Mytilus edulis: one gene and its partner. The protein of the gene in region 1 interacts with the protein of each later gene in a biochemical or structural test. Links are inferred from orthologs where the notes say so. Each region holds a gene or a part of one and is shown in the gene's direction. Other genes may lie near its edges. The genes, in order: adenine DNA glycosylase-like and exodeoxyribonuclease-like.

The links.
Region 2: the proteins of adenine DNA glycosylase-like (region 1) and exodeoxyribonuclease-like form a complex in vitro, tested with the Homo sapiens proteins (3 studies listed by BioGRID and IntAct, with this or other methods). The link is inferred for Mytilus edulis from reciprocal best matches to the Homo sapiens genes MUTYH and APEX1.

The regions. Positions count from the first base shown.
Region 1 is NC_092348.1:3,361,698-3,371,642, forward strand, and holds the start of adenine DNA glycosylase-like, read left to right. Parts: upstream 1-6,238; 5' UTR 6,239-6,248; coding exon 6,249-6,330; intron 6,331-9,945. Other genes in the region: protein eyes shut homolog, read left to right, coding at 157-270, 666-779, 1,603-1,736, 3,285-3,713. UniProt on the Homo sapiens protein: Involved in oxidative DNA damage repair. Initiates repair of A*oxoG to C*G by removing the inappropriately paired adenine base from the DNA backbone. Possesses both adenine and 2-OH-A DNA glycosylase activities.
Region 2 is NC_092353.1:831,526-840,868, reverse strand, and holds the start of exodeoxyribonuclease-like, read left to right. Parts: upstream 1-5,285; 5' UTR 5,286-5,343; coding exon 5,344-5,433; intron 5,434-7,986; coding exon 7,987-8,223; intron 8,224-9,343. Other genes in the region: ankyrin repeat and SOCS box protein 8-like, read right to left, coding at 3,655-4,659.

The DNA.
Region 1 (9,945 bases):
ATCATATGACATTTACTGAATAGAAAGTAAAATAGTCATTCCTTGTTTTAACATTTTTCTTTAACAGTTTTACAGTTTCGCATAGAATATATATAGTACGTTTATGCTGACCGTAGCTACAGACATTTCAGTTATCTCAGTTTCATTGAATTTCAGATGTAGATGAATGTCAAAGCGATCCATGTTACAACAATGCTACATGTATTGATAGAACACCCGGATGGAACTGTGCCTGTTTACCAGGATATACTGGAAAACAGTGTCAAATAGGTATTTTATATAATACAGTATATAGTATCAACATCAATCCCTACAAGACTGTGAATTTGGTATTGACATATTTTTGGTTAATATACCATAGCAAGTGTAGTTTATCATAGTTGTGTTATAAAAGGTTTCCAGACTAATAAAAGCCTTCATTTAAAACAAGTTCAATATATAAAGTTATCAAAGGTACCAGGATTATAATATAATACGCCAGACGCGCGTTTCGTCTATATAAGACTCAACAGTGTTATAAAGCCAAAAAAATATTCATTTTATAATTTTTATATATTGGTACAATTCATTTATGTTGTATCCACATAAAGATTTTTTTTATTCACGTAGGAATAGTTAAAAGGTTGATACAATTTATTTTTAATGCTGAATGTGTATACTTTTAGCTATAAACGAATGCACCAGTAATCCATGTAGGAATAATGGAACATGTGTAGATCTTATCAATGGGTATCGTTGTCACTGTTCAAATGATTCTACAGGACAACATTGTGAACATCGTAAGTCAGAATACATTATGTATAAAGTTACTATATAAATCCATTTATCATGTGGTATCTCATAAAAAAAACTTGAAATAAATATAAGGGCATCCCTTCATTTCTAAAAATGTAAAACAAAAAAATTGTAAGTCGATGCGGATCACACAATTCCATGGCCAAAATAATTAAAATACAAAACGTACTCTACTATCATCAAAACATGTTAAGAAAGAGCTGAAAAAAGACCGGAGGTCTCAGCAGTTTCTGATTCAAGATTGACATCTGGCGTCCTTCACTTGTGTAAATTAACGAATCAGAAAATAAAACGGAAATATTAAATTGAAACCTTTTCTTAGTATCGGTATAAGATTGTTAAATATATAAAACAAAACGTTTCCATTATGAACCCTTGGTGTTATCCATGATAAAAAGAAAAAAAACTGCTATTTCTGTGGTGTCAAGTAAATGCAATAATAATTGCCTCAAATATTAACCTAAGTAGACATGGAATTCATCATAAAAAAGACATCCTTTAACAGCATAACGTGCTGTTCAATATAATGAAATGTTACTTCTTCCATATGTAATGAGAATTCCGTAAATGGAATATGCATCATACGAATAAATAGATGATAGATGGATCCAGGGATCTACATGGCCTGTTTAACGATGGCGCCCCGCCATCGTTCAAATGTCTTGCGCCATCGTCAAATGACTCGCGCCATCGTTAAATTGTCTTGCGCCATCGTTAAATTGTCTTCCGATCGATTTTGTTGTGTTCTATTTGTTTGTCTTAGTGCAATTTGTTTCTTTAAATATAAACCAGTATGACTGTTTGTAGGAATGAATCATTGCTCCTCACATCCATGCTTACATGATGGTACCTGCATGAACAATTATGATGGGTTTAAATGTGAATGTATAGATTCCTGGTTCGGTGATATATGCGAGGAAAGACATACTAATGAATCTGAGGTAAAGTTAATTTACGACAAACAGGAGACTCAGGGTATATATAAAAATTTGAAGATGCTTTATGATTGCCAATGAGACGGCTATAAACCTATAGAAATTTTGGATCCGCAGTGCTCCTCAACTTTGTACATTTGTCCCCCTTTTTCCCTTTTTGGTTCCAGCTACAGTGATGCGTCTTTTGTAGATTTTTCGCTCGTCTGGCGTACACAATTCTAATCCTGGTATATATCTATGATGAGTTTATCCATAAGATATTAAATGATATATTTAGTAGCGTGAATAACAAAAATCTCTACCACATGAAAATAGCAAACTATTCAAGACCCCAACACGACAAAATTTGAAACAATTCCAACAGGAAAACCAATGTATGTACAAAGAAATAAACGATAAACAAATATAATAACAGCAGCAAAGGACAACAACTAAATTACAGGCTCATGACTAATAGGGACAGGTGCAAACGTAATGTGGTTCGGTTTAAAATGGTTAAAGGGTGCCAAACCCTCTACTAACGAACAAAATGTAAAAATAAGTTGAAAAATTCTTGAATCATCAGTCAAAACAAACATATAAAAAAACTCTCAAAACACAATGTATTGATCTGAGAGTACTCACAGTTACTGCAAGCAAGTTCAGAGCCAATAACTACTAATAAAAAATTAACGACCATATACAAAATATCAACCAGTGCACATCCAATTGTTAAAGACATAAACAGTCTGTAAAAAACACGAATTTGTGCCATGCTTAAATATAAGTGTCAAAAGAATGTATGAATGTAATAATTGTAAAGCAATGCGTATTAGTCGTAAAGATGTATTGTATACCACAAGCAAACAAAACAAGGAGTTGGTTGTATACACATTTGTACCCTTGTATCATTGTTATTGTGTAATATAAAGCGGGTATCACGAACTCTGACCAGACATACACATACTGTCGTGATACTTTTGTGTCCTTAGTTTGCATTAACCGTCAGAGAAGGTTATAACTCACACAAAAAAACATTGCTCTAATGGGTTAATTGAAATGTATTATAAGTACTAAAATTCAGACAGAGAGACAAGAGGTAAACAGGTGTGTTTTCTGGATCAATTACAGTATACTAAATAGTAATGTCTTTACAAGTGGTTCCAGTGATAACTATGGAATGACATTACAGAGTACTAAATTGTATGAAAGATTGGCGAAAGATACCAGAGGGACATTCAACTAATAAATTTGAAATAAACTGACAACGCCATGGCTTAAAAAAAGAGGGAAAAAAACCAGACACAAAACAACATAGAAAAATAAGGACTAAACAATACGAACACAGGCACTGGTCTCATATTTTTTTCCCTATATACAAAGAACCTTTATGTACCAGGATTTTTTTCTAAGACACATGCCTGTGAATATGAACCCCTCCAAAAACTGGGTTGATATCATGTGCTCCGGAAGGGTAAGACCTGTCAAATCTAAGAACTTGCATATCGTTCTAAGTGTGTGGGTGTTGTTTTGCGTACTACTTTTGATTCTGTTTACCTCTTTTTCTTTTTTCAGGGTTGTTCGGTTTTAGAATATTCTGAGTGTTCTTGTTTTACTCAACAGTCGAAACAGAGCAGAAAATCGAATAAAATGTTGCTAGGATCTATTGGGTATGCAATCGGATTATTACTAACGATCTTATCTTACTGTGCTTGGATGATGCTTAATAAATCAAAAAGTGACAGTAAAATTCACCCACATGAAGCAACAATTTTACAACATGAAGTCTTCCAAGAGAGTGAAATCGCCAAGAAGCCAGCGCAATCCTCTCACAGAGTCAATAAACTTCATGAAGCAAGGCTAAGAAAACAAAAACAACAGAAAGAACACCACAACTGTTTCTTAGATCATAGTGGATTTGATTTTTCTAAACTATATGTTAACGAAGATGGGAGTCGGAAAATTCTAAAATGTCGGCATCAAAGAGTACAAAATGACAGTTAAGAATATCGAAATGTACTTAATAAAATTTTAGACATTTCATAAATGTTCATGTAAACATGGTAAATATAATTGAGGATATTTTTTATCTAAAAATGTATCTAGATATTTGTATAATGGTGTAATAAAATGCTGTTCGTGTTTATAAAGTCTTATGCTTGAGTTTTGCTATTAAAAAAGTACCGATACACAAGTACGAACTCGAATTCGTCATGACATATAACAGGGAAAAAAATAATCTATCCAAATCTTATCCTGTCGAAGCACGAGATCTCTCTCCTTTAAAATTTCATGTGATTACCATTTTTTTTTTTTTTTTACATTTATTAAATTGTAACACATGGAAACTGTTGTTGCATGAATTTAGCTTTAATGCCGGTTTAATAAATTTATTTAAGAAATAATTAAAATTATGTAAGAAATATTTAGCGTTTTTTGTCTTGAATTAATCAATGGTTTGGTTGAGAAAACCACACTTTTTATATTGGAGACCAATTCAATAGACCCTTAGTCTTATAGTTCATCCAATTTCGTTATATATGAAATTTGTTGTACATTGCCTACCATCTAATAATTAGTTGACTAGCATATTAAATTAAAGCTGTATTTCACTCGAAAGAGAACAAAATTCCCGTAGATTTAACATTTGACAGGTATACACCTGTTCCGCAAACTGTATTTGAGCTTGTTTGCACAAGTTGACATGAATGCCACGCTCCATTGTACATTTGCCTTAATTTAATATACCATTGAAGAAACATTGTATGCTTTTGATAAAAAAAATAATTACGTCAGTCAAGAACTTCTTTCCGAACCGAGCTTGAAACTTTGAAGAATTATGGTATAAAAGTAAAATATAAAAAAATGCTGAACTCAAAGGGAAATTCAAAACGGAAAATCAACTATCAAATGGCAAAACCAAAAGGTCAGACACATCAAACGAATGGCAAACAGCTGTTTTCCTGATTTGCCAAAACCTACAAGGTCGTTGCAACAGTAACATCCTTCCGAAGCGTATGGGTTCAACCGCAATGTTTTGTGAAGTTTGTGTTTAATATAATTTCAAATTGGGTTTTGAGCAGCTTTCTTAGTTAATTATTTTTGTACTCTTGGTCAATGTCGGTAGTTTTTTTTTTGGTCGTTTTTTTCTATCTCATTTTGTTATACTTACTTATTTAATGTTATTTTTCATTAAAACCTACATATCATTTAGCTAGGTTGAATGAAAGATAATTAGTTCTAATTCGAGTTACTAAAATTTTGGATCTCAAATGACTGATATATACATTTTTACTAAGATTAGCAAAAATGGATATAGAAATGCGATGATTTTCCATTAATTTTCACTTAAAAGGGCACTAGCTGTCAAATTCATGCTCACTGGTTTTAATCAAATTCTCATATTCGATTTATAACAATGTAAAACATTTATCCAAACTATCAAAAGTCTAAAATAAACAAGTAACAGGAGACAGGCATAAAAATATGTTGCTTCGTTTCGTGTGTATTTTAGTCCATACGCCTTCTAATTAACTATCGAGTTGACCTCTTAAGTCATCCGATGACCATATTTAAGCGATGTAAACATAAATATACTTGTAGATATAAATAGATTAAGCAAACTCGTGCTGTTGGATTTTTCTAGGTCTATTAATTTCATATTATAAATGAAAAATAAATGTTTATCAACGTTTTTATCTGTATAAGAATGATTTTTTTGTGGATCGGATCAGTCAATCAAACTATTTACCTTTGTTTCACTTTCAATGTTGACATTCTTTTCCTTAAAAATCTTTGCACATACAACTCACTTGTTATCCATCTCAAGCTTAGGGGTTAAATTGAAGTTTACATGAAAACGGATTCAATGAGGCCGAGTTATTCACTTGCAAGTGAATAATTCATAATCAATGTGTTTTAGCTTAATATTTTGACAAAATTTAACCATACTGGCTGCTAACCAGCGAATTATTATTTCACTATTTGCATTTCATTAATGATTGAGCAAAAAATATTAGATTTTTATTATATATCTCGTAGCTAGTGCCCCTTTAATAGTACATATATTTGGTCATTTATAATGGTAAAAAAATATTATACACTTTTTTATTAGACATTTATACTGATATCATGTAAAATGGGAATTAACTCTTGAATCTTTACTAAATTTGCAGTGAATTGTACATCTTTCTTAAAAATGTAATTGATACAATGTTTTGGTAACTAAACAATCATTCTCATTTTGTTTCTAAATTGTTCATAGCCCTGAAATAATTTGGCTTATCTGAGTAAACAGAACGTCAGAACTTTGATTTGTAACGATGTGCTAAATCCGTTCATATTATCCTAAATGTCATTGTGAATAATTCGTCTAGAGAAAAGACAAATTAAAAAGGAAAATGAACCTTGTACAAAACTGAATCCGGACACCTTCCAATCGTAATATCATTTTATAGTGCTCCAACAAAGGAGAAAGTAAATAACAAATTACGTTCACCGTTTCTGCAACGAATATTAACGTTTCCTTCCCTTATGTAAATGATACCCCTCCTTTCCCGCCGACTTCAAAATTTGTTTGTGATCATGGTTAAAAGGAAAATACATCAAAATGGTACATCAGGTTAGAACATATGCCTCAAGAAACTGCATAAGACAAATATTGTAATAAATTGGTTAATAATAACCGATTCAGTTGTCCTCGTTTTTATTTTCGGGGATGTTTATGTGAATTTTTGAGCTTGCTTACATAACATGATTATCTTTAAACAATTCCACTGAAAAAGCATGCATAGAGCGAATTCTTATGAAATAAAATCTGACTAAAATACATCACATAATTTCACATTGTCTTATCTCTAGGTAGACAAGTACCGACGAATTATTCACAGTCACTTTTGGATTTAGCCCATGGTTACTAATCAAAGTTCTGACGTTCTGTTTACTCAGATAAGGCCAAAAAAAAAATAGGTGTGTTTCCTGTTGCATGCCCCAAAAAATTAGGGTCGGTAGGTAGGTATTTTTTTTTTTTTTTTTTTTTTTTTTTTTCACTGGCCTGCTTCGGTTGTTTTTTGTGTATTTTTATAATCAGTTTGTTATTCTTTCAGGTTATTTTCATCAGTTCATTGTATAAAGTATACAAGATATGAATAGTCCATGTTCAAAAGTTGCAGAAGACTTGGCCAGGACTTCCAGCTTATAAAATTTTCAAACTTTTCAGAACTGATATGCCATCTGTACGGGTCAGGCTATAGTCTTACACAGAAAGCCCATCAAAGTCTGTCTCAGCAAAGACCTGTTTTATAATCAGTTTCTTTCAGACAATTTAGTTCACAGAACTGATGCCAGCTTTTTCCAGTCACAGTAAATTCATTGTTCTTTAATCCAAAGTCATGATACTGATTGAATATATCAATAAAGGTGGTAGAATTAATAGAAAATGGGGCTATTATACTTTTTTTCTCGTTCCTGTGTGGACACTCATCGATTGTTATTGATAACACACTTTGACTGATGGCCATAGCAGAAGCCATGCCGTTGTTTGACTTCAATCTGTATCACACAAATGCTTACTGTATTAAAATTTTATTTGAAATCAAACGTTTAAAAGATGCCATTCAAAGGCTATACTAAACAAAAACCGTTTCCGGAAAAAAACGAAAAAAATCCGGATTTTTTGTTTGTTTTTTTTTTCCGGGAAAAAAAAGTTAGGGTCGGCGCCAAAAAATTAGGGTCGGTCGGGCGACCGGAAACACACCTATTTTTTTTTTTGGCCTAAGCCAAATTATTTCTGGGGTATGAACGAATTAGAAAAAAGGTAGTAGTTGACAGACAGCTGACCTGCACTGTCGGACTTTCATCAAGGCTCTGTTCTTGGCCCATGTCTTTTCCTAATTTACATAAATGACATGCCAGACAACCTCAAAAGTAATGTGCGCCTCTTTGCAGATGATACCATTATGTATTTAACAATAACATCACTTATTGATTGTCACACCATTTAATCTAGTCTGAGTTAACTCTTAGATGTCCCATATCCATCAGGTCTTTTGAAAAAAGAATTTATAGGTGTGTAAAGGAGGTGCAAATTATTTTTTGAGTTTGTCACTGCAAATGCAGCACGAGGTGTCAGAATGGACTTCATGTCATCAATGAGTACCATTCAAAGGTTCAGATGGTATGTGCAAAAAAACGCGCGAATTTCATTTTAAAATTTTATTTGAAAAAAAGAACATTATACGTCAATTGATCTATCTCTATATCCACCATTTGGTGGATTATACGTCAATTGAGGTATTATACGTCAATTGGTGGTTATTCCTGACCTGTCCATGATATCAAAAAGTGGATATTTGCCTATTCAAAATGGATGAGCTGCTTTCTTGCTTCTGGGGCTGACTGACGGTCTTGGATCATATAAATCGCCTCAATTTGTTCATTTTACATTTATCTCTTTATTTTTAAGCAGTTAAGCTGCTTTTTTCGAGCACCCTAGATTTATGTTCTACCCAATAAATGATGAAATATGTGCCACTTTTATTATCTGGCTGGCTATCATGTTATTTATAATTAATTGGGCACTTTTTTCATACTTTTTATTTTGGAATATAAAAAATATTACCATAAAAATGTTAAATGGTCGTCGATTTTCCCAAAAGTTTTGAAGTTGCACATAGGAAGTAGTGCTCGATAGAAATCCTTCTATAGTTTATTACCCCCTGTGCTGTGGGCTAAGATGTCAAAGAACAATTGTATGAAATATTTGATCGCTAAAAATCTATAAAGATGAGTCGTTTACATTTCCCAGATAGCAAAAGTCGTAGGAATATTGTTTGTCATCGATACGTATTACATACGTCAGTAGTCTATTAATAAGCTGATATAAGTTGGCGGTAATTTCAAATTACATAGAAGACGAAATTTAGGTACCTTTTAAATTGGGAGAATTCTGATGATATATCGGTACTTTATTATTAATCATTTTATTCGTTTTTTTGTCTGATTGAGATTATTTCAATCATCTTTATTCAGTAATCTTTAATGTATGCTCATTTGTTTTCTTGTTAATATTATTCCGATTTCTAGCAAATCACCTTCATGCTTGTCAAATTAAGTTTCTGATTGGTCGATGTCAAGGTCATTTTAAGCTTGTTTCCCTTTGGTGTTACACAATGTAACATAATGCTACACGTGCTTTGATTAAGCTCGATGTGGTTCAATAAATATTGTGATATAAACTTTAACAACTGTTTTCTAAAGGACGGCATTATTTAACTTCAAAGTCGCATATTTTGTAAAATATTAAGTCCGAATCTGTGACACGTATCACATCGTAATTGTTTTTGATTTACAAGGACTTTTCGATTTCCGGTACAGAAAAATACGACTTTTTTATATGTTTCTTTTTATAATTTTTCACATTCAAACACTCGTTAAGTGTTATTGAATCAATTCTATGCGGTTCCTTCAGCAACTTTATGCTGGTAAACGATTTCCCCATTAAAATAATAAGAAAAGAAATCGCATGATACGATAAAAAGGTAACGAGTCGACTAGTCCGAGATTACTCTGACGTCTAACGGCTATTTTGCCAGACAAGCAGGGGCCCTGGGCCCACGGCCCCAGCTTGTCTGGCAAAACAGCCGTTTAGACGTCAGAGTAATCACGGACTAGTTACCAATGGATCTTTAAAGCAGGGAGAAACTCCTACACCCAAAGGATTGCTTTTGCTGGCCCCTTAACACAATAACCATGATAACAAAAATGTAAACTATTTCAACTAGTCACTTGTTCAGGTGGAACTTTTAAACCAGAGGAAGAACAAAGTAACTACAATGTAGTTGATAAGTTCTGGAGAACTTTACGGCTAGTTAGTTCTTTCTGCCTGGAACTTTCCAACGTCGGAACAAAAGAGCATTTACAATAACTTGGACATCATACTAAAATCAGAAGTATACACAAGAAATTAATAAAATTTTAAAAAATGTACAAAACAATTATGAAAAATAAATATGATATACAGCAACAATCACCGCATTAGTGGGTCCTCACTATGGACAGGTACATACAGAATGTGGCAGCTTAAAAATCTTAACTGGCACAAAACTCTCCCCTAACATAGGACAGTGTATGTGTATAATCTCAGACATTGAATCTTTATAAATATAAATTGGAAATAACTTTTGAAAGTGGTAGGATTGCATAACATAAACATTACTGTACAAGCATTATTTGATAC
Region 2 (9,343 bases), on another chromosome or scaffold:
TGTAGCACATATAAAACTATTTATTCTATTATGTACATATATGTATAGAAATTTTATTTATAAACCTTGTATAGATACATTGTAAATTTTTATGAAGTACAAAAAACCAAGAACATGCACCTTTAATAGTAGTACATAGATGTTAAACCAGTTTGTGTCATAACACTTAACTTTGTTCAGTATTTAGTAACTATAAACACAAATGTTAGCCAGGAGAAATGTGACTAAAATTATATCCGTAAAATTTAAAAAAATGATAATTGTCTGGACTTAATTTTGTTATCACTCAAAACCTGTAGTTTGTCAAAAATTCCCCAAGATGTATCTATAGAAATATGCCCAACAATCTTCTCACTGCCCTTAAATTTCAGTCCAACATCATATATACATCCATCATTTGTTTTATTCATACAGGCCAATTTTATAATGTCATCAAATGTACTCCCTTGGTGCTGATCAAATTAAATCAAGTAGCTTCAAGAAGACTACTACACATATTGCCTATTGTATGTAATAGTCATATAAAGCTCTTTGTATGTAAAGTCAGCAGGAAAAACTATGGAGTACCGGTACACCCTATCTTCAAAATCAAGGTTGGCTATATATAAGAGAGGATTTCTTTGGTGTATATATTGACTGCATAAGAGTCTAAATTTTAATTTTTTTTTCTTAAGAACTGTGAAGGCCTTCAAAGTTAATAGAAATATGTTTCAACTTTCAGACAATGTGTTGTGGTCACTGTACTAACTGGTCAAACCAAATTAATTTGTAGATATTATGTCAACTGTGCCATTTGATGTTATACGGTTATAACATACTGATAAATTAGAATGTAGATATAATATAGACAGATTTAATAGGAAAATAGTGAAATCTCTTACAAACCTGCCATTAATTATTAAACCTCTTTGTTGTATAGTGATAGAGATCTATCAGATGAATTCTTATAAAGGAGATTGTAAGGGATTTCAATATTCAACATGTTCCTCATCTAAATTTTATACTTCTATTGAAATATATTAAGACAGTTATCTCATAAATGCAAATTGCCATTTGAATTTACTTTTGTGGAATTCTTCAGAGGTTTTGTTGTTCAGCTTTTAGGGGTTATTGTGGCCAAGTGGACTCAGTACATGTAGTTCATCTTTTTTTCAAACTTGCACATGCTACTTGAACATAATTTTAACATTATAAACATTGTTTCATTTTCACATGTATTTAAAGATCTTTTGTTACCTTTTTTTTTTAAATTAATTTGTCAAGTTGAAAACATGACATTGATGATCAAAAATTTCAATCACAAAAGTATTTAGATACCTCAAGTTGGGCATTTGTTTCTAAACTGATTTCAAAAAGATCAGACGAAAAATGTGTTAATAAAAGTGACAAAAATACTGTAAATTTAAAACTACTGTCTGCATTTAATATTGAGAATTCCATGTTTCTCCCCATGAATGTGTATGAGTGATATACATATTGAAATTGAAGTGTTCTGTTTTAGTGTATACTGGCTATGATTGTTTTTATTTAGTTGCTCACAGAGTTAACATTCCACAATGTATAACTATAATGTACTGCTTTGGAGAAGCAGAATAAAATTGGAAAATATTTGTGTGTTGTTTTATTTTGATTTTATGTCATATGTGCTTTATGTTACCTGATTGTTCTTGATGATAGGCTTGGCTGCACAAAGGGTAAATCTTGTGGATGATGAAACATGTGTCTAATTTTTGAAATAAACTCCTATTTGATTTCTTCCTAAAGCCTTCAAACTTTAACAATGGTTGTGTATACATTGAAAATGTGCACCATTTAGTGTAGCACCCAGTTCCTACATTTTTCTCAGATTATGATCCTTTGACAATTATCAGCAGACATTCAGACATACTGTATAGCGGGTTATTTTAGCGGGTGTAAAATTTCGCGATTTTCATTGAAAAAAGTATACAAAATATTTTGTCTGTTATTATTTTGGCAGATTCAGAACTTTTATCAATACCTTTGCATCTACACTTTAAATTGGCAGAATTTATTTTGTCGATTTTGTTCTATCCCTGAAAATAAGCGAAAATTTACACCCCGCCAAAATAACCTGAGTTCCCCTTAAGACATTCACATAATAGAATAACATGTGGTACAGACAGCCAGACTTGTTACAAGCACATTTTATGTTCACACTTTATCTTCCTAGACCATATGTCTTAAAGAACAATCCAATAAAGAAAAAACAACCTGCAGTAAAGCTACAAACTGGATGGCCACTAGCTTGATGAAGGAAATAAAACATAATTTGGGAACAAGTGGAGCTCACATTCCATAGTATTAGTATCATAGCTTTAGTAGTCATTCACAAGACAAGTTAACATATAGACTGATGGGGTGGGGCTCTGAACACGGACAGACTTATGGACCACTAAGATCATAAAGATTGGCTAGGTTTGGACACAGACCACTTTAAACAACATTACAAATAACATGTATAAATTGTTTTATATTGAAACATAAACATGATAAACAATATGTTATAAAATTTCCTGATAAATAAATTATCGTTGTTTTATACTGAACATGGTGGAAAACAAACCCACTTTTTATGTAATCAATTGATATTTATGATAAGACATTAAGATACGAAGTACTCTTCAGTGTTGGTTATACTAAACTTCTGACACATCAATCTAGCAATACATACAAAAATCAATATAGGTTTGAAGAAGGCTTATCTTTTTAATTAAGACACAGATTTAATTATATAAGTATTCTCTGTGGAAGTGTTTTATAACTAAGATAATTAATTATTTATTAATTTATGTCATAATCAATACACAATTCCCAATTTATAGCATGTTTCAAGTATGTGTGGTCATGGGAAAAAGTATTTTGGATAAATAATCGAAAGATAACCAATAGCAATAAGATAATAGTTAAGCAATGATCAATTGAATAAGAATGTGGTAAAAAAAAACAGAAATTAAAAGTTTTGTTTATTCTCAGTGAATTTCTGAACAAAAGAAATCATGAATTTTAGATGTTTTTATCACCATACAAGTGTGAAGACCACTGTGATTTGTGGTTATATCTTTTAAACTCATGACAGACTACAATATTTTGAAGAGATATTTAATACTGTTGTATCATCATCATTTTCACCTCCTTCTCTCAACATAATTATAAAATCAGATAAAACATACTTTATAACTTATCAAAAGCTGCAGTAGATTTGATAAAAACATTGCAATTACTTTGAGGGCAAGAAATAATTTTTTTTTTAACTATGAACATGATGAATTCAAATTTATCAGCACAAAATGTAATTGTGAATGTTTAGTGAACCTTTAAATTCTATGTAATGTGGCAAAAATCCAAAATAAATAAGTTATATATACACTGATATTCTTCAGTTAACATGACATGTATTTTATTAACTAATTGTTGATACAAAAAAATAGTTTAAATAAATTAATTATTTTTATTTAGATTTTTAAAAGCCATAATGAAAACAAAGGTACAAAACTGCAATTGGTTAATTGAGTCCTTGTGTTCAGTTGAAAAATTGCTTTTTTTGTCATCATCAAAAGACTTTTTTTCATTATACTCTTGATCCATCATAATCCAAAACATAGGCATGATAGGTGTATTAACAATTTACACAAATTACAAATGTCCTAATAAGATATACTCCTTTATGAGTTTTGGTAATGGTAATTGTTCCACTTTTTTCATTAAATGAATGTTTTGTGATGAATGAATCAATGAATTCCTGATAACAAGACAAGAAAGAGTTCTCAAAGTTTGAGGAGATTCTGCACAATACTTAATCAGTACCATCAGCTCAGGGTGGAGAATGAGATTTTGGAATTTTTCACTTTGGCATCTTTTAATTAAAGTTATGTCCACTGATGCACCTGCTTCTAACAGCATTTCTGGAATTTCTTTACAAGTGCTAAATTGGAGGGCTGTAGAAAGTGGGGTATGACCGTTTAATCCAGTATGATTTGGATTGGCTCCATTCAACAGTAGCAAGCGGGTAGTCTGTACACAGTTTGCACGACATGTCAGAATAAGAGGTGTCCAGCCTCTGATTTGCACAACATCAACCTTTGCACCTCTACGTACCAGCTGGGAAGCTATTTTACTGTTGGCATGCATGGCAGCCATGTGAAGGGGCCTAAGATTAGCTGTATCTTTTATATTAACATCACATTTATCACTGATCAGAATCGCTTTCACCATTTCATAGTTATCCATATCAACAGCATGTAACAATGGAGACCATCCACGGTCATCAACAATGTTCACATCAAATCCACCTTGAACAAGAAGTTTAACCATTGGGACATCTTCTTTAACAATGCACTTGAACATAATTGTTAATTTTAGTCGCTCTCTCTTTTTATATGGTTTTAAAATGTATGTATAGTTGAAAACATCCACTATATATTTTAGATTCGTGTTACATCCATTTTGTACTAAAGCTTGCACAATATTAATTTGATCATTTTCTATTGCAGTTTCCACCATTGTTTTTCCAACTCTTTCTGGTCTTTCGTTGCTTCTAAAAGCATGGTTAACATCCAAGCCTTTCTTCAAATATTCACGTAGTGTTTCAGCATCACCCTGAATAATACATCGGTGTAAGTCATCTTCAAAATAATCCATTGTTTCTCAATTTTGTCACAAAAAGTAGATATTTTCTATTCCAAATTTGCTGTCAGCCTGAGTGTCCTAAGTCATCCCCAATCCGTATGTGCTCCCTGGCAATAAATCAAAGACCGGAAGAATCAGGTACATTGTGTATTGACTCTTCTTCAACATAATGAGGCAAATTAATATTTTATTTCTCCACTATAGTTATGTACTGGTATTTCTGAACAGCTGAACAGTGTTCTGTTTGGAATAAATGTATGCATAATTAATAATTTGAGATAGTACCACATTTTGCACAGTATATGAAATATTAATTCATACATATGATAAGCAAATTATCCATGACAATGAACTGAATTTGTGAAATCAGAAAAAAAAAACCTCAACTGTCAAGGGAGAAAGTCAGCTTTTAGAACGTCCATGCGTAACTTAGCAAATGTAAACTTCCGGCAGGTGCCCGTTTAATTAAAAATACGGAATCACATATAAACGAAACAATGATACGATCAAAGCTAATGCTTTATTAACAATGAAAAGACATGTTATATTACATGTCTTTCAAATGAACTATAAATTTGTTTAAGCTTAGTAGTCGGTTTCTGCAAAAAGTAAGGATGACTTTAAATACTTTACATCGTTTTTAAAGTAATTCGTTTCGGAATAAAAGTACATATGGCGGGAAATTTTCTATTGTGAATGTTGTTTGTAAATAGAAATTTGCTGATACCGGCATTTAATAGATTCATCAGTTCAGCGAAGTTAAGTACCATGCCACCAAAAAGAAAGGTAAAAATATATAAATATAATCAGCTAAAAAATGTTTTGTCAGTTTCTAAGCTCTGTGTGTGTGTGTATGTAAAACATTGTGAAATAAATATTTTATATGCAAATTGAGAAAATAAAGTATCTTCAGTGCTCAGACCCTCAGTGGGAAACGAACTCTGTAACAGGAGACAGTTTGACCTTAGTATTTGTATATGTATCAGTATCTTTCTTTTATTATCTGTGTGTTTTATTTGGTAAAGTCAGCTATAATGTTAACTCAGCCTCAGGTATTTATACATTGTAATGATGAGTTTTTTTTATCGTGTGTATAAATCAACAATACGTGTGTCTACTCTTCGAACACACCTTTACCAACAAATCTACACTCTACTTCTGATAATTGACATTGATCTCAATATCCCTTTAGTTAACTAATATTTCTTGCGAAAATATTTTAATCTAAACAACTATTGATTACTACCAAGAAGAAAAGAAAAGCTTTTAATCATTTATCTTATGTAAAACACTGAGAATCCTTACTGATTAACCAATAGAAATCAACTACACTTTTTAGGTTACCCTGGATACAATCATGTAAGCAAAATAATAACAATGAAAATGAATTGTAAATTGAAATTAGCCATCCTACATATAATTTCAAATATATAAAAACCGATTTCGCTACACGTCCATGGTTCAGCCTTAGTTGATTCAGTCTTGGTCGTCTAGTCCATGTACCACTTCAGCCATATGATAAAAGAGGATAGTAATGCCTTTGACATCAGGCGTCAAACAGTCATTTTCGGCTACCGTTAGCGTCAAATTGGTTAAAATTTTACAGTGATTTGTCAAAATATCCTTATCATTTCTGTCATTTTTTTAAAAAATAACTTGATTTGTCAAAATCAGTCAATGTTTTTTTATCGTCTGAAGGATGTAGTGTACATTTTACTGTCATACACCTAAAATTACTGTGAATGTCATTTGGCAAGAATTTTTACCGTTTTGTCATGAAGGTACCCCCATTACTACCCTTATAAAAGTTCTGGCAATATTTTCATTTTAATTTATACTTTTAAAATGAGATTGTTTTGTTTCATAATTTATAATTTAATTCATATACTTTTTATGCCTTTAAAAATAAGTTCACATTAGGAAATACGACATCTGATTTCCCCCATAATAAGAATATAAAAATTAGTCCTGCTTAGTCAGTCAGTTATTCTTGTCATGTTTGTATTACAGCTTTGAGACATGATCGAGCTGGCTTTATCAGCATCATCACAATGTCAGATGAGAAGTTTTCATTGACATTACAAATTATTGGAAACAATATGAATACGAAAGTTTCAGTTTGATCCAGTTCACACATATCAATAAAAACATAAGCTCTTGAGAGCTTTTTACCTTTCGGCCATGGTTCAGCTGCATTTAATTCGCCTTCAATTGTTGGTTTTGTCCATGTTCCTCTATCATGACTATAATGCTATGTAATAAAAGTTGTTTCAGCAATATTTTCATTTTATATTTTTTAAAAGAGAATTAGTTGTATATACTTTCATTTATTATATTTATATCAAATTGAAAATGGAAATGGGGAATGTGTCAAAGTGACAACAACCCGATCAAAGAGCAGAAAACAGTCAAGCCACCAATGGGTCTCCAATGCAGTGAGAAACATTCGCTCCTTGGCATGCTTGAGCTGGCCCCTAAACAAAAATGTATACTAGTTCAGTGATAATGGACTCCGAAATATACGCAAGAAACTAAATTTAAAAATCATACAAGACTAACAAAGGCCAGAGGTTCCTGACTTAGGACAGGCGCTAAAATGTGGTAGGGTTAAACATGTTTTTTGAGATATCCCCTTATAACTCTAGCCAATGTAGAAAAAACAAACACTCAACAATACACACAGTAAAACTCAGTTTAAAAAAGAAGAAGAGGTAGAAATATACCTTTAATAACTTTTAAAAAAACTTTATTGCACTTTTATAGTAATGATGATTTATTAGAAAAATGTTTCAAAAGGTTATGTAGATGCTGAGACTGAATATAAATCATTTATTGGATTGAAATCGCAGGTAGAGGGCACTCCTGATTTAAAACGCATACCATTTTATCACTTGAGCTCATCCAATTATCTAATTAAATATACAAACATACATATATCCTGTGGAATCAAATATCTTAGTAATATACAAATGATATAAAAATTACAAAAGTATTTAAGAAATAATTGATGCAAGCTATACTTTATTGTAGTTTTAACATGGGTAGGCATTATATTCGTGATTATTTTTGCCCGAGCGATAGTGAGTAAGTTCAGTACAGCATTGTTATATATTTTGAAGCCGAACAATAATTTAATTTAGTAGATGTGGTGTATATATTTTTGAAAATTCAATCTTCTGATAAAAAGAAAGAACATTTTAATTTTTTAAACTCTGGTGGATAGTTGTCTCACATGTCTCATTGGTAATCATACCACATCTCCTTATTTTAATATTTAATGTGCTTTATCATTAAATTTGTTTATCCAATAAAATCATTTGATTGATTATATTATTATAGAAGGCAGTCACAGATGTTGAAGCAACAACCAAAAAGACAACAGAAGCAGAAGATGAACCAACCACCAAGAAGACAAAGATAGAAAAGAAGTCCAGCACAGCAAGTACAGATCTGCCTGATGATGTAGATACTTCATTCCCAACACAGATTAATCCTGATGCTAAAACAAAGGATGGAAGGAAATTTACCAAGACTATTGTGTCGTGGAATGTTAATGGTGTCAGGGCTTGGTTAAAGGTAATTTACCAAGACTATTGTGTCCTGGAATGTTAATGGTGTCAGGGCTTGGTTAAAGGTAATTTACCAAGACTATTGTGTCCTGGAATGTTAATGGTGTCAGGGCTTGGTTAAAGGTAATTTACCAAGACTATTGTGTCCTGGAATGTTAATGGTGTCAGGGCTTGGTTAAAGGTAATTTACCAAGACTATTGTGTTGTGGAATGTTAATGGTGTCAGGGCTTGGTTAAAGGTAATTTACCAAGACATTGTGTTGTGGAATGTTAATGGTGTCAGGGCTTGGTTAAAGGTAATTTACCAAGACATTGTGTTGTGGAATGTTAATGGTGTCAGGGCTTGATTAAAGGTAATTTACCAAGACATTGTGTTGTGGAATGTTAATGGTGTCAGGGCTTGGTTAAAGGTAATTTACCAAGACTATTGTGTTGTGGAATGTTAATGGTGTCAGGGCTTGGTTAAAGGTAAGTGATAGATTTCAAAAGTAGATACATATGTCAAGCCTTTGGGAGACCTAAGCAATGTAGAATTATTCAGTATAACTATTATGTACTCGAGTAGAAGAATATCTGTGATTGTAAAGTTTTACTGCTATTCTTTGAAATACTTTGAAATAGCAAAACTTTAGCTTGTTCTTTTCTAAAGGAATTAATGAACAAACTCAGACACAAACATTTCTCATACATGTACAATATACATGTATATACTGACAATGTTATGTACATGTATATATTGACAATGTTATGTACATGTATATACTGACAATGTTATGAACATGTATATATTGACAATGTTATGTCCATGTATATATTGACATTGTTATGTACATGTATATACTAACAATGTTATGTACATGTATATACTGACAATGTTATGTCCATGTATATATTGACAATGTTATGTCCATGTATATACTAACAATGTTATGTCCATGTATATACTGACAATGTTATGTCCATGTATATACTGACAATGTTATGTCCATGTATATACTGACAATGTTATGTCCATGTATATACTGACAATGTTATGTCCATGTATATACTGACAATGTTATGTCCATGTATATACTGACAATGTTATGTCCATGTATATATTGACAATGTTATGTCCATGTATATAC